Macaca fascicularis: one gene and its partners. The protein of the gene in region 2 interacts with the protein of the main gene of each other region in a biochemical or structural test. Links are inferred from orthologs where the notes say so. Each region holds a gene or a part of one and is shown on either strand. Other genes may lie near its edges.

Region 1 (3,949 bases), on a different chromosome or scaffold from region 2:
GTTAGGGGGGCCTCCCAAATCTGGAGAGCCCTGACGGCACCAACTTTAGCCTGGAACTTCCAAATGATAACATGATTTGGGAACTGAGCCTCAGGGTCCTCAGCCTACCCCCTGGAGCTTGGATACTGTCCGCACTTCAAGGCAGGAATTCCCAAGGGAGACTTGTTTGAAAATGAGTGTCTCACTTGCCTACCCTATCCGTCCTCCCCACTCTGAACTTGAAATTGAACCCATTACGGTTGCGGGTGGGAGGCTGTCTGTGTCTCTAGACACATAATCTCTGTCTCTTGGACCTGCCACCATCACTTTCTGGGTCAGGATTGGAATTGGGATGGAATGGGACAGTTGTCTATAAAACTCTAGTGTAAATATTAGCACTCCCCTCCCTCATCTTTTCTTCTATTTCACTCCCCATTTATTTTCTTCTACACCGGTTGTATTTTTAATTTTGGACTTCCCCTACTGGGCATGGCAGCTCAAAGGTGGAGTACTAGAGCCTGGCCAAGCAAGGAAGGAAAGCAGAAAGGTGACGATTCTCACTCACCTCTTTTGTTTTTAATAATATTGGCCGCTGTTTGTACAGACAGCCTGCGTGTTGTAAATAAAGCAGAGTGGGCTCTTTTGTGTTTATAGCCCTCACTGTCCTGCTTGGGAGGGAGGCTTTGGTGGCTGAAGACTAGCTGGACGTGGTGCTGAAAGCCACCTCTCACAGTCCAGTCTGAAGATGGCACAGCACTGGGCCTCTCCCACCCCAAGATACTTGAGTAAGCCACCTCAGAGCTTTCATTGTATTTGGCCCTCCCCACTCGAGTCTAGGAACCCCCACAATCCCCACCTTCACTCCCTGCACGCACACTCCTGAGGGTCAGAGTTGCTTCGCGCTCCCGCCGGTGTGGGGTAAAGCCGGGTGGGAGCCGACTGTCCGCTTCCTGAGGGCACAGGCCAGCTTATCCTGGGTGCTCCGAGGACCTCGGCTGGGGTACACCTTTGGGGGCTGGGAGACCGTTGCCGAAGGCAGCGATCACGTGGCGGGGGCACTAGGAGGAGTCACGCGGTCACGTGACTGGGAGGGGTCACGTGACGGGGGCGGCTGAAGAGCGCGGGGTGGGCGGGCTTAGGTCACGTGACATGAGGAGAGGTGGGCGGGGACCTGGAGGACGCTCGCGTTGTCGGTGGCGGTGGCGCGCGGCGGCCGCTGAGACCGCGGCTTTGAGTCGCACCTCGCGGCCCGCCCCCCGCCGCCACCCTTGCCGACCCCTGCTTTTTTCCCTTTGCTTCTCTCCAGTACTGGGTCCGTCCTGTCCGCGCTCGCTCGTCGGTTTGCGGGTGTGCGCAGGCGCGGCAGGGGCCATTAGCCCCTTGGGTGGGCGGTGGAGCCCGGGAGCGCGCGGGCGAGACCATGGCGGGCAGCAGCGCTGGGGGCGGTGGGGTTGGGGAGACGAAGGTGATTTACCACCTGGATGAGGAAGAGACTCCATACCTGGTGAAGATCCCTGTCCCCGCCGAGCGCATCACCCTCGGCGATTTCAAGAGCGTCCTGCAGCGGCCCGCGGGCGCCAAGTACTTTTTCAAGTCTATGGATCAGGATTTCGGGTGAGCGCAAGGCCTAGATAGGACCGACGGGGGCTTTGCTAGAGTGGATTGGGCGACGTGGAGGGGCACACATCTACTTCGGGCCACACTAGGATTTTCTGGCCTGTGGTGGAGCAGATTGTACCATGCTGAGGTAGGTTGACTCTCCCAGGATGGACAAGGTTATGCTTGGATAGATTGAGGCACACGGGCAGACTAGGATATCCTAAACCAGATTAGAGACGATTAGGCTCTACTGGAATAGGTGGAGGCATACTGGTTTATTTTGGAGTGTTTTAGACTGTACTGAGTAAATTCATCTATCGTCTGGTCGTTTAGTACGTTCTCAGGAGTCCTGTAACGCCTGTAATCTCAGCACTTTGGGAGGCCGAGGCGGGCGGATCACGAAGTCAGGAGATCGAGACTATCCTGGCTAACACGGTGAAGCCCCATCTGTACTAACTAAAAATACAAAAAAATTAGCCGGGCGTGGTGGCGGGCGCCTGTAGTCCCAGCTACTTGGGAGGCTGAAGCAGGGAGAATCGCTTGAACCTGGGAGGCGGAGGTTGCAGTGAGCCGAGATCGCGCCACTGCACTCCAGCCTGGACGACAGTGCAAGACTCCATCTCCAAAAAAAAAAAAACACCAAAAAACAAAACAAAACAAACTTGGGCCATTATGGACTCTACTGGGCTGTATTGGTTAATCCTGGTTTATCTTGGGGCAAGACATGGTTTTATTGGAGCACTCAGTATGGGGGCAGACAAGGCTGTTGGTGCCCATGCTAGTACAGGTAGCTGTATTGGGGTATTCTAGTCTATATTGGTGCAGACAGCTGCGTGTGGGGACATTGTAGGCTGTGCTAGAATAGATTGGGCTATCCTAGGGTAATTTGGACATTCAGGGCTATCTTGGACTAGATTGGCATGTAAATAATGCAGAGAAAGCCCTTTTGTGTTTATGGTCTTTGGGGCTGAGCCCTCTCTGGGTCCTCAACCTCTGCTTTTTTTTTTTTTTTTTTTTTTTAAAGACAAGAGTCTCGCTCTGTCGCCCAGGCTGGAGTGCAGTGGCTGATTCTCGGTTCACTGCAAGCTCCGCCTCCCGGGTTCACGCCATTCTCCTGCCTCAGCCTCCCCACTAGCTGGGACTACAGGCACCCACCACCACACCTGGCTAATTTTTTGTATTTTTTAGTAGAGACGGAGTTTCACCGTGTTAGCCAGGATGGTCTCGATCTACTGACCTCATGATCGGACCGCCTCGGCCTCCCAAAGTGATGGGATTACAGGCGTGAGCCACTGCGCCCAGCCCAACCTCTGCTTTTTTGAAGGCAGGCTGGATTAAGTTGAGATAGCATGGGTTTTAGAAGAACTGAACAAACTGGACTCTAGCTAGAAAGATTGTTTGACATGGGAAGGGTGATACTATCTTGGGAGTTATCTTGGCTTTAAGTCAAGGTTCTTCTAGTTGTCAGCAGTGCAATCTTGGACAATTAATTTAAATTTTGTGTCTTGATCTCGTCTGTGACATGGAGAAAATCACAGAATGAAATGGTTAGTTCAGGTGTGTGGTACATGGTGAATTCTTGGTGAATGGTAATTGTCATTAGTATTGAGGCTGACTACTCTATAAAGGTTATGGTGATACACAGTAATTTGTCTTAAGAGTGGACTGAGCTATGCTGAGATTGTGTTATGTTGGGAAGAATCCTACATGATGCTGAGACAGATTGGTAGTGACTGGGCTGTGTTGTCACATTGACAGCAAATGGATTAAGTTGATATATATCCTGGCTCTTATGACCATATTAGGCTAATGGGTTAATTAGACAAGGTGTCCTAATTTGGCGGCAAGGGTGTGTGTGGAAAGAGAGAGAGAAACAACCAGGGCAGAGAGTCTGATGCTTTATATGTTTATTCATTTAGTTGACAGTATTTGTTAATGCCTAAGTGTCAGTGTGTGGTGTGTGGCCAGGACATGGTGTTGATCAGAGTAAGTGTTCATGGTTTGATGTCGTGGTCAAGAAGAAGGGGCAAGTCCAGTCCACCACAGGGAACCCATTGGAGAGATGACCCCAAGGCTGGGCTTTGGGATCTGTCAGGCTGAGCAGATTGCTTCGTGCCGAATTTTGTGCCAGATGAGGCACAGGGGAATGGGAGCGCCAGCTTGCTCTCTCCTTGGGAGCTTTCAGTCTAATGAGGAGCTTCCATTGTTTGTTTGATCTAATGGTGGGTGGTTTTGTTTTTTGTTGTTTTTTGTTTGTTTGAGGTGGAATCTCACTCTGTCGCCCAGGCTGGAGTGCAGTGGCGCAATCTCGGCTCACTGCAACCTCCGCCTCCTGAGTTCAAGCGATTCTCCTACTTCGGCTTCCGGAGTA
Region 2 (3,511 bases):
GAGGCTGTGGCAGGAGAATCGCTTGAACCCAGGAGGCGAAGGTTGTGGTGAGCCAAGATCGCGCCACTGCACTTCAGCCTGGGCAACAGAGCAAGACTTCATCTCAGAAAATAAATAAATAAAAACAAAGATATATTGATACATTTTTAAAGAGAAAAAGGCATATTGCAAAATATATTCATGTATAACCTCAATTTAGTTTCACTGATGTCATAAACATCAATATATGTCTACAAACATAAAAGAAGATCAGAACAAGGATCTGAGGGGAAAAAATTATTTAAAAGATAAAAAGCTCAAAAATGTATACGTCAAAATGTTAACAATAGTCAGGAATAGTGATGCACGCCTGTGGTTCCAGCTACTCCGGAGGCTGAGGCAAAAGATGGCTTGAGGCTGGGAGTGTGAGGCTACAGTGAGCTGTGACCATGCCTGTAAACAGCCACTACACTCCAGCCTGAGCAATATAGCGAGATCCCATCTCAATTTAAAAATTAATTAATTGGGCCGGGCGCGGTGGCTCACGCCTGTAATCCCAGCACTTTGGGAGGCCGAGGTGGGCGGATCACAAGGTCAGGAGATCGAGACCACGGTGAAACCCCGTCTCTACTAAAAATACAAAAAATTAGCCGGGCGCGGTGGCGGGCGCCTGTAGTCCCAGCTGCTCGGGAGGCTGAGGCAGGAGAATGGCGTGAGCCCGGGAGGTGGAGCTTGCAGTGAGCCGAGATCACGCCACTGCACTCCAGCCTGGGCGACAGAGCGAGACTCCGTCTCAAAAAAAAAAAAAAAATTAATTAATTGGCCAGACGCAGTGGCTCACATCTGTAATCCCAGCACTTTGGAAGGCCAAGGCAGGCGGATCACTTGAGCTCAGGAGTTCCAGACCATCCTGGCAACATAATGAGACCTACTCTCTATTAAAAATATGAAATACAGCCAGGCCATGGTGGTGTGTGCCCGCAGTCCCAGCTACTAGGGGGCGAGGGCTGAGGTGGGTGGATCACTTGAGCCCAGGAGCAGAGGCTGCAGTGAGCCGAGATCGCACCACTGCACTCCAGCCTGAGTGACAAAGTGAGAAACCTGTCTCAAAAAATAAATAAATAAAATATAAAAATAAAAATTAATTAATTAAAGTAAAATCCCTCTTTTTTTTTTTTTTTTTTTTTTTGAGACTTGCTCTGTCACCCAGGGTGGAGTGCAATGGTGCAATCTCGGCTCACTGGAACCTCCACCCCCCAGGTTCAAGCGATTCTCCTGTCCCAGCATCCTGAGTAGCCAGGATTACAGAGCCCACCACCATCCCCGGGTAATTTTTGTATTTTTTTTAAGTAGAAACAGGGTTTTGCCATGTTGGCTAGGCTGGTCACAAACTCCTGACCTCAGGTGATCCACCCACCTCAGCCTCCCAAAGTACTGGGATTACAGGCATGAGCCACCACACCCGGCCATAAAATTGCTTTTAAAAAAATATTAAGAATAACTATCAGGCTGGGCACAGTGGCTCACGCCTGTAATCCCAACACTTTGGGAGGACGAGGCAGGCGGATCACCTGAGGTCAGGAGTTCAAGACCAGCCTGGCCAACATGGTGAACCCTCATGTCTACTAAAAATACAAAAATTAGCTGGGAATGGTGGCACACAGCTGTAATCCCAGCTACTTGGGAGGCTGAGGTAGTAGGATTGCTTGAACCTGGGAGGTGGAGGTTGCAATAAGCCAAGATTGTGCCACTACACTCCAGCCTGGGCAACAAAGTAAGACTCCATCTCAAAAAAAAAAAAAAAAAAGAAAAGAAAGAAAAGAAAAAACAGTACCGTAACTATTACTAGGTACTGTGATTATGGGCAAATTTTGTTTTCTTTGTGTATCCATGTGCTTTTCTGTAGCTCACAATTTCTCCGAGGACTTTTGCTAACTGAAAGGAAAAGCATATTGGCTGGGCAAATGAAGAAGAAAAAAGGACCCTCATGCTGGTTGTTGCATCCTAATGTGAGGCTATCCACAAGTAGATTTCCAAATACTGAAATAAATAGAATTCTCCCTGATGATCAAATTACAAAAGGCTGGCTAGGGTTTGGGAAAATAAACACCAACTCAGAAGACAAAGCAATCAGGGAGTTCTCTGCAGGATTAAAGTGGAGGCACATCTCTGGTTTTAAACAGTTCCTCGGGCCAGAATCGGTTCAGCACATCTCCATGTGCCCAGCAGAAAAGAAAAGACCAGAGGAGGCTCAAAGACCTTTCAAGTGGCCCATTGCTTAAAAGGAAAGGCTTGGAGAGAAAAGAAAGACTCTTAAATGAATGCAACACGCTCGCTAGGACGCAATGCTCCCTGCCCCCACTTCTCTCTTAAGCTACATCCACTTTCAGAAAATACTTTCTAGACATCAAGAGAAAAAGGAGCCTTTCTTAACATGCCATTCATTCGCCACATATGGTACCACTCTGAATAGAGGCCTTATGAAGGAGGGTCCAATACCACAGCCATGGGCCATGCCACTGACCACAAACAGCAATAAATAGATGAGGATTTATATGTCTGTGACGTAGAGGCACGTTGGCTAATTCAGATGGCGCGTCCATCACGTTCTAACATCCAGTAAATGTTTACTGAATGCCAAGTAAGCACAGGGCACTATTTGTAAAACTATCCCAGACACACACGTGCACACACGCACACAGGCACGCACACACACACATATACGTATATACACAGCTCCTTTGTTCTGTTTTAGGGCTGAGGCTAGAAAAGCAATGATTTAGGCTAGAGGCATTTGACAGTTTCATTCAACATATCACACATCTCCTGCAACGGGAAGAGCAGCAAAGGCAGACAGAAAGTTTCCAGTCCCTAAGGAAGGGTCAAGGGCAACACACCACTGCATCCCATTGCTACAGGCCCTGGACAGAGAGGGCTAAACTCTGCACTGGAGGCAGAGAGGAGCCCTCAGCCTTCCTAAAACTCCAAATTCAGCATCCAAGGAGAACAGAGGTACCGCAGCCCCAGTCCTGGGGGAAACTGCAACACCAGGTTGATGTGCCAGGTCCTCCCATCCCCATCAATGAATCACGTCGGCACCCCCTTCATCATACGTACTTTTGCCCCCATTGTTCTTCAAGACGTTGGAGAGGTTGACAGACGCGGTGCCTAGCAGTTCATTTCTCAAGGTATGGCAGCTCCAGACCTTTAAATCTAAATGACTCTGGGCCGTGACATTCCTGGAAAACAAATACCGGATTCATTACATCCAAGCAGATCATTCCTATAACTTAGAAGAAAACATTTAAACTAAACTGCTGACATCTTGGGGAGGGGGAACCAAAACAGGCAGACACCCACATATTTCCTTTCCCCCACAAAAGCTGACCCTGTAACCCTCTAGCTAATAATGAACGCTCTATGAGCTCAATGGTGCAGGAACGCCTAAAGAGAGGCACGTTGGGTACCATAGGCAGAAAAAGTCGGAGGTGCCACCGGGAATCTGTACCTCCTACAACCCCCTCAGAGCACC
Region 3 (4,280 bases), on a different chromosome or scaffold from region 2:
AGGCCTGCTGGCAAGGACGGCCACAGAGGAAGGACTGCAGCCACGTGCCCGGTGACAGAGCTGTCTGGCCTGCGGCCTGGGGCGTGACGCCACCCACGGCCCTCCTGGGCCCCAACAGGTAAACAAGGAAGCCTCACTGTTTCCTTCCTGGGCCCCAGTGCCAGGCACGGGGGTGTCTGGGTCAGGGGTCCTGGTGGCACTCAGCACTCCAAGAGGCTGAGGGCAGCACCCCCAAAGAGCAGTTGTTGGCGAGGTCCTTCCTGGACAGGGAGGGCTCTCAGGGGTCTTGGGGGTGTCCTCTGTTTGACAGGGAACTCACTGGGGCCCCATGAGGTAAGGGACTTGGCCACAGCCACAGAGCAAGGCTGGAACTTCAGGCTCAGAACTGCCCAGCAGTTCCCCAAGACTCCGGGCCCCCCAAGCCTGGTGCTGGGTTTCCAGGCGGCCTCACCTGCACCGAACCCCACCAAGTCCCAACAAACCTCTTATTTTCAGCACCTCCAAACATGTCTTTTACCCGGAGCAAACCCAGGCTCCGAGAAGCAAAGCCCCCGCCGATGGCACACGGCAAGTCCGCCGTGGAGGGCTCTCTCTGGTGGCCCCTGCCCCAGGGCTCGCTCTGGCTCCTGAAGGAACAGCGGCTGCAGGCAGTGGCTGGGCAGCAGCGGTGGCCCTGGGCACTCAGCAGCTCCTGTATTTCCACGCTCCCCCAACTCCCTCCCAGGCACACGGGGAAGGGAGAGCCCCGGTGGGTGGCAGCACCCCCCCGCGTCTCAACGCTGGCCTCTGAGGACTGACCCTGCGGCAGATGTCTAGAGGCCCCCTCCCCAGGAAATCCGGAAAACCGGATTATCCCCTAATGCTGGTCCAGGAGGCTCTGCCCACAATCCCTGGCAACCGGTCTGGTGGGCAGGAGCCAGGAACCCGCATCCCTTCCTTCCAGAACAGCAGCCGCCTCACAGGCCTGGCCTCGAGGTGGGGCCGCCCCTGCTCACAGCCAGCTGCTCCCCCAAGCAGAAAAAAGGGGCTGGGGGAGGGGGCTGCTAAAACCATTTGACAACCTCAAGGCTCAAACTCTGTTCCCTGTGTGGGGACCCACGATTCCAGATGCACAACCCACGGACGTCCCACCCTCTGCCGTAACCCAGAACCTCAGCTCAGGAATCGCCCCCAGCAGACCAGGCTGCTGCCCTCACAGCCGCTGAGCGCGCGCGGTTCAGACATTAATTAGCCCGGAGAGCACACGCTCTGAGAGGCATCGGTCCCTCGGCCCCATGCCCGCAGCTGGCCGGGGCAGAGCAGGCCCGGCTGTGCCCAGGCTCTTGGCAGGCAGCGACAGCGGGAGGGGGGATTCCTGGACAGGGTGCGCGATCCCCACCTCTCACACGGGGCCCCTCACTTTGTCCCTCTGGCCCCAAGGACGAGGTCCTGGAACTCTACAAGAGCCAAAGGTCACGTCTGGATCGTGAGATCAAGAAAACTGGCCAGGCTTTGGCCTGAGTCCTTTCCACACTGGACAGAAACAGTCTCCCTGCTCCCAACGGCAACAAAAACATCAAGAACCTGCTTGGAATGAAACCGCCAGAGGGCAGAAGGAATGGCCCAGAACTCGGGGTTGGGGTCACAGGAAGCCACCTGTTCAGTGGAATCTGAGAAAGGCCAAGGCCAGCTGGGATGAAGCAGCCCGGAGCTTCTGAGGTCGGGGTCCGGGACGCGGGCCGGAGCCGGGGGCCCGGGGAGAGCTGCAGGGAGCAGGTGGGAGGGACGCCCCTGCCTCAGCCTTCCCGAGGGCGCAGGTTACATAAACCCGGGGATGGAGCCCAGGGCGCCTGGCCGGCTGCTATCGGCAAGGGTGGCCGCTTTCCAGGCAGGGCCCGGCTGCCAAGGCTCATCCGGGCCTTTGTTGGAGCCTGAGCGAGTGGCCGCGCCAGCCACCCCCAGGCTGGCCTCGCTCCCCCGCTCACAGGCCCAGCTCCCCAACAATAGCAGCTGCGGGGTCTGGGGGGGGCCTCTTTGTCTCCTCCGGGGAGGGCGGGGAGGGCAGCAGAAAGGCCGGGGCGGCCTGGGCTCCGCTCCCTCTTTCTCGCAAGGGCGGAGGGGGAGGCAGCCGGGGTCGAGCCCCCCCCAGGAAGGAGGTGGGCAAGAGCCCCACGCGCAGATGATACCGGGAGGGCCCCGGGCCACCCTTCTGCGGGCCAGGAGACTACCCGGGGACCGGACGGTGCCTTCAAGGAAACTGAGAATTCTCGGGGACCGCAGCAGAGGCTGAAGGTCCCCGGGACCGTCCGAGGAGGGGGCCGGGCACAGCTGGGTGGGGAGACCCGGCCATAGAAGGGAAGCGAGCCCAAGCCAGGAGGCTGCCGGGCCCGCCCGGGGACCGCGGGGCAGGGAGCTGGTTCCTGGCGCCCGAGGTCGCTCGTGGGCTCAGGGACCCGGGCGGGGGTCGCCGCGCTCACCTTGAAGTAGCCGCCCTCGTAGTAGGTGTTGGGGGGTCCGAAGATGGCCACCTCCCAGTTGTACAGGTCGCCCTCGTCCACCAGGGTCACGCGGAAGCCCTCGACCGGCTCTTCCTGCAGCCCCTTGAGCTCCAGCAGCAGCGCCTTCTGCGAGCTGGGCACTAGCGGCCGGGCCATGGCGGCGGCGGAGGGGCCCGGGGTCGGCGCCGCGCGGGGCCGCGCGACCACCGCGAGCTCGCGAGACGGGCCGGGCCGCGCGCCGTCCGGGGGGGAGCCGCCGGGGCCGCCGCCTGCCTCCTCCTCTGCGCCGCCGCCGCCGCCCGGGGACCCCGAGCGCTCCACCAGCTCTGGCGCCGCCGCCCCACCAGCGCTCGCCTTGGCCCGGCCCGCGCGCCCCGCCCCCCGCTGCGCCTGCGCGCTCCGCCCGGCCCCGACTGCGCCTGCGCGCCGCGGCCAGGCCCGACCTGCGCCTGCGCGCCCGCCCGCGGGGCACGCCGGGAAGTGGAGTCCCGGTCCCGGTTCCGCCTACCGCGCCGAGCGCCGCCGCCGGGAGGGAGGGTTCGAGCGCGCAACCCTGGGCGCTTCCGATCCCCGAGGCCGCCGCCGTCGCCCCCAGCTCGACCAGTACCGCGGACGCTGTGCGCACGGAGGCGGGCAGGGCTGCTCTGGCCGTGGCTGGCCCGGTCCCCCAGCTTTGGGGTCGTTTTGTGACGTCCCGGCGTGGGGCGGGGCTGCGGGCGGTGAACGGGGCGCGGGGCGAGGTCCTGACCGGGGCCGGAGGGGCAGGGCCGGTTCCCCCGGCGCGACCCCGCGTCCGCGCCTCCGTTTCCCCGTCTATACAGGGGACGGGCGCTGAGTCTGTCCTGGGGCGCGCTGGCCTCGCGGAGGGGAGGAGCGGGAGCGAGGCGGGGTGTGCAGACCCGGCTTCCAGGCGCGGCGCTGCCTCGGTTCCCCCGACAGCGGGAGCTCTGAGAAGTGGGCGAGGTCGGGGAGGGCTCTGAGGGCGGGAGGGGGCGAGGGCTTTCCTGGTCCCCCGTTGAAGTCACCATGTGGTGTGAGGCGGGTGCAGGTGCTGGAGCCATCAGAGGTTGGCAAGGTGCTCCTGCCCCCCAGAGAAACTGGGAAAGAGGCTCCCCCCAGCCAGCATCGGCTCAGCACCTGACCCGGGAGAGGCGCCAGCCCCACGGAGCCCCCACCCCAAGCTGAGCCTGAGCCTGGCTGTGCCCTCCTCCCAGCCTGACCTCTGTCCCACCCAAGTCTTTTTTTTGAGACAGTCTCGCCCTGTCGCCCAGGCTGGAGCGCAGTGGCACAATCTCACTGCAGCCTCCACCTCCAGGGTTCAAGGGAGCCTCCTGCCTCAGCCTCCCGAGTAGCTGAGATTCCAGGTGTGCGCCACCACACCCGGCTAATTGTGTCTTTTTAGTAGAGATGGGGTTTCACCATGTTGGCCAGGCTGGTCTCGAACTCCTGACCTTAAGTGTGTTAGGTTTTGGAAGGAAGGGGAGGGTGCAGTTTGGAGTAACAAAGTGATCCGTCTGCCTCGGCCTCCCAAAGTGCTGGGATTACAGGCATGAGCCACCGTGCCCGGCCCCCCAGAGTCTTGACCCCACCTGACTTCTGACCTGGCTGAGTGGCTGCCCAGACACCCGCATGCTCGTTGCCCTGAAGCTTGGTCGGGAGAACTGGCCATGCTGAGGACAGGGCAACCCAGCCTCCCCTGAGTGGTGCCCGTGACTGCGGTGGCCCTGCCCTCGGACTGTGCTGGTGGCATTATTGCTATGTCCTGGGTACACACAGCTGCATCAACAACAGGCGGGGACCAGG

The links.
Region 1: the proteins of WWP2 (region 2) and DVL2 form a complex in vitro, tested with the Homo sapiens proteins (2 studies listed by BioGRID, with this or other methods). The link is inferred for Macaca fascicularis from reciprocal best matches to the Homo sapiens genes WWP2 and DVL2.
Region 3: the proteins of WWP2 (region 2) and CDC34 form a complex in vitro, tested with the Homo sapiens proteins (2 studies listed by BioGRID, with this or other methods). The link is inferred for Macaca fascicularis from reciprocal best matches to the Homo sapiens genes WWP2 and CDC34.

What each region holds. Positions count from the first base shown.
Region 1 is NC_088390.1:7,281,077-7,285,025, reverse strand, and holds the start of DVL2 (segment polarity protein dishevelled homolog DVL-2), read left to right. Parts: upstream 1-1,144; 5' UTR 1,145-1,399; coding exon 1,400-1,593; intron 1,594-3,949. Other genes in the region: PHF23 (PHD finger protein 23), read left to right, coding at 1-34.
Region 2 is NC_088394.1:65,910,754-65,914,264, reverse strand, and holds part of WWP2 (NEDD4-like E3 ubiquitin-protein ligase WWP2), read right to left. Parts: intron 3,219-3,511; coding exon 3,097-3,218; intron 1-3,096. UniProt on the Homo sapiens protein: E3 ubiquitin-protein ligase which accepts ubiquitin from an E2 ubiquitin-conjugating enzyme in the form of a thioester and then directly transfers the ubiquitin to targeted substrates.
Region 3 is NC_088393.1:1,084,397-1,088,676, reverse strand, and holds the start of CDC34 (ubiquitin-conjugating enzyme E2 R1), read right to left. Parts: upstream 2,806-4,280; 5' UTR 2,634-2,805; coding exon 2,457-2,633; intron 1-2,456. UniProt on the Homo sapiens protein: E2 ubiquitin-conjugating enzyme that accepts ubiquitin from an E1 ubiquitin-activating protein, and catalyzes its covalent attachment to other proteins by an E3 ubiquitin-protein ligase complex. In vitro catalyzes 'Lys-48'-linked polyubiquitination.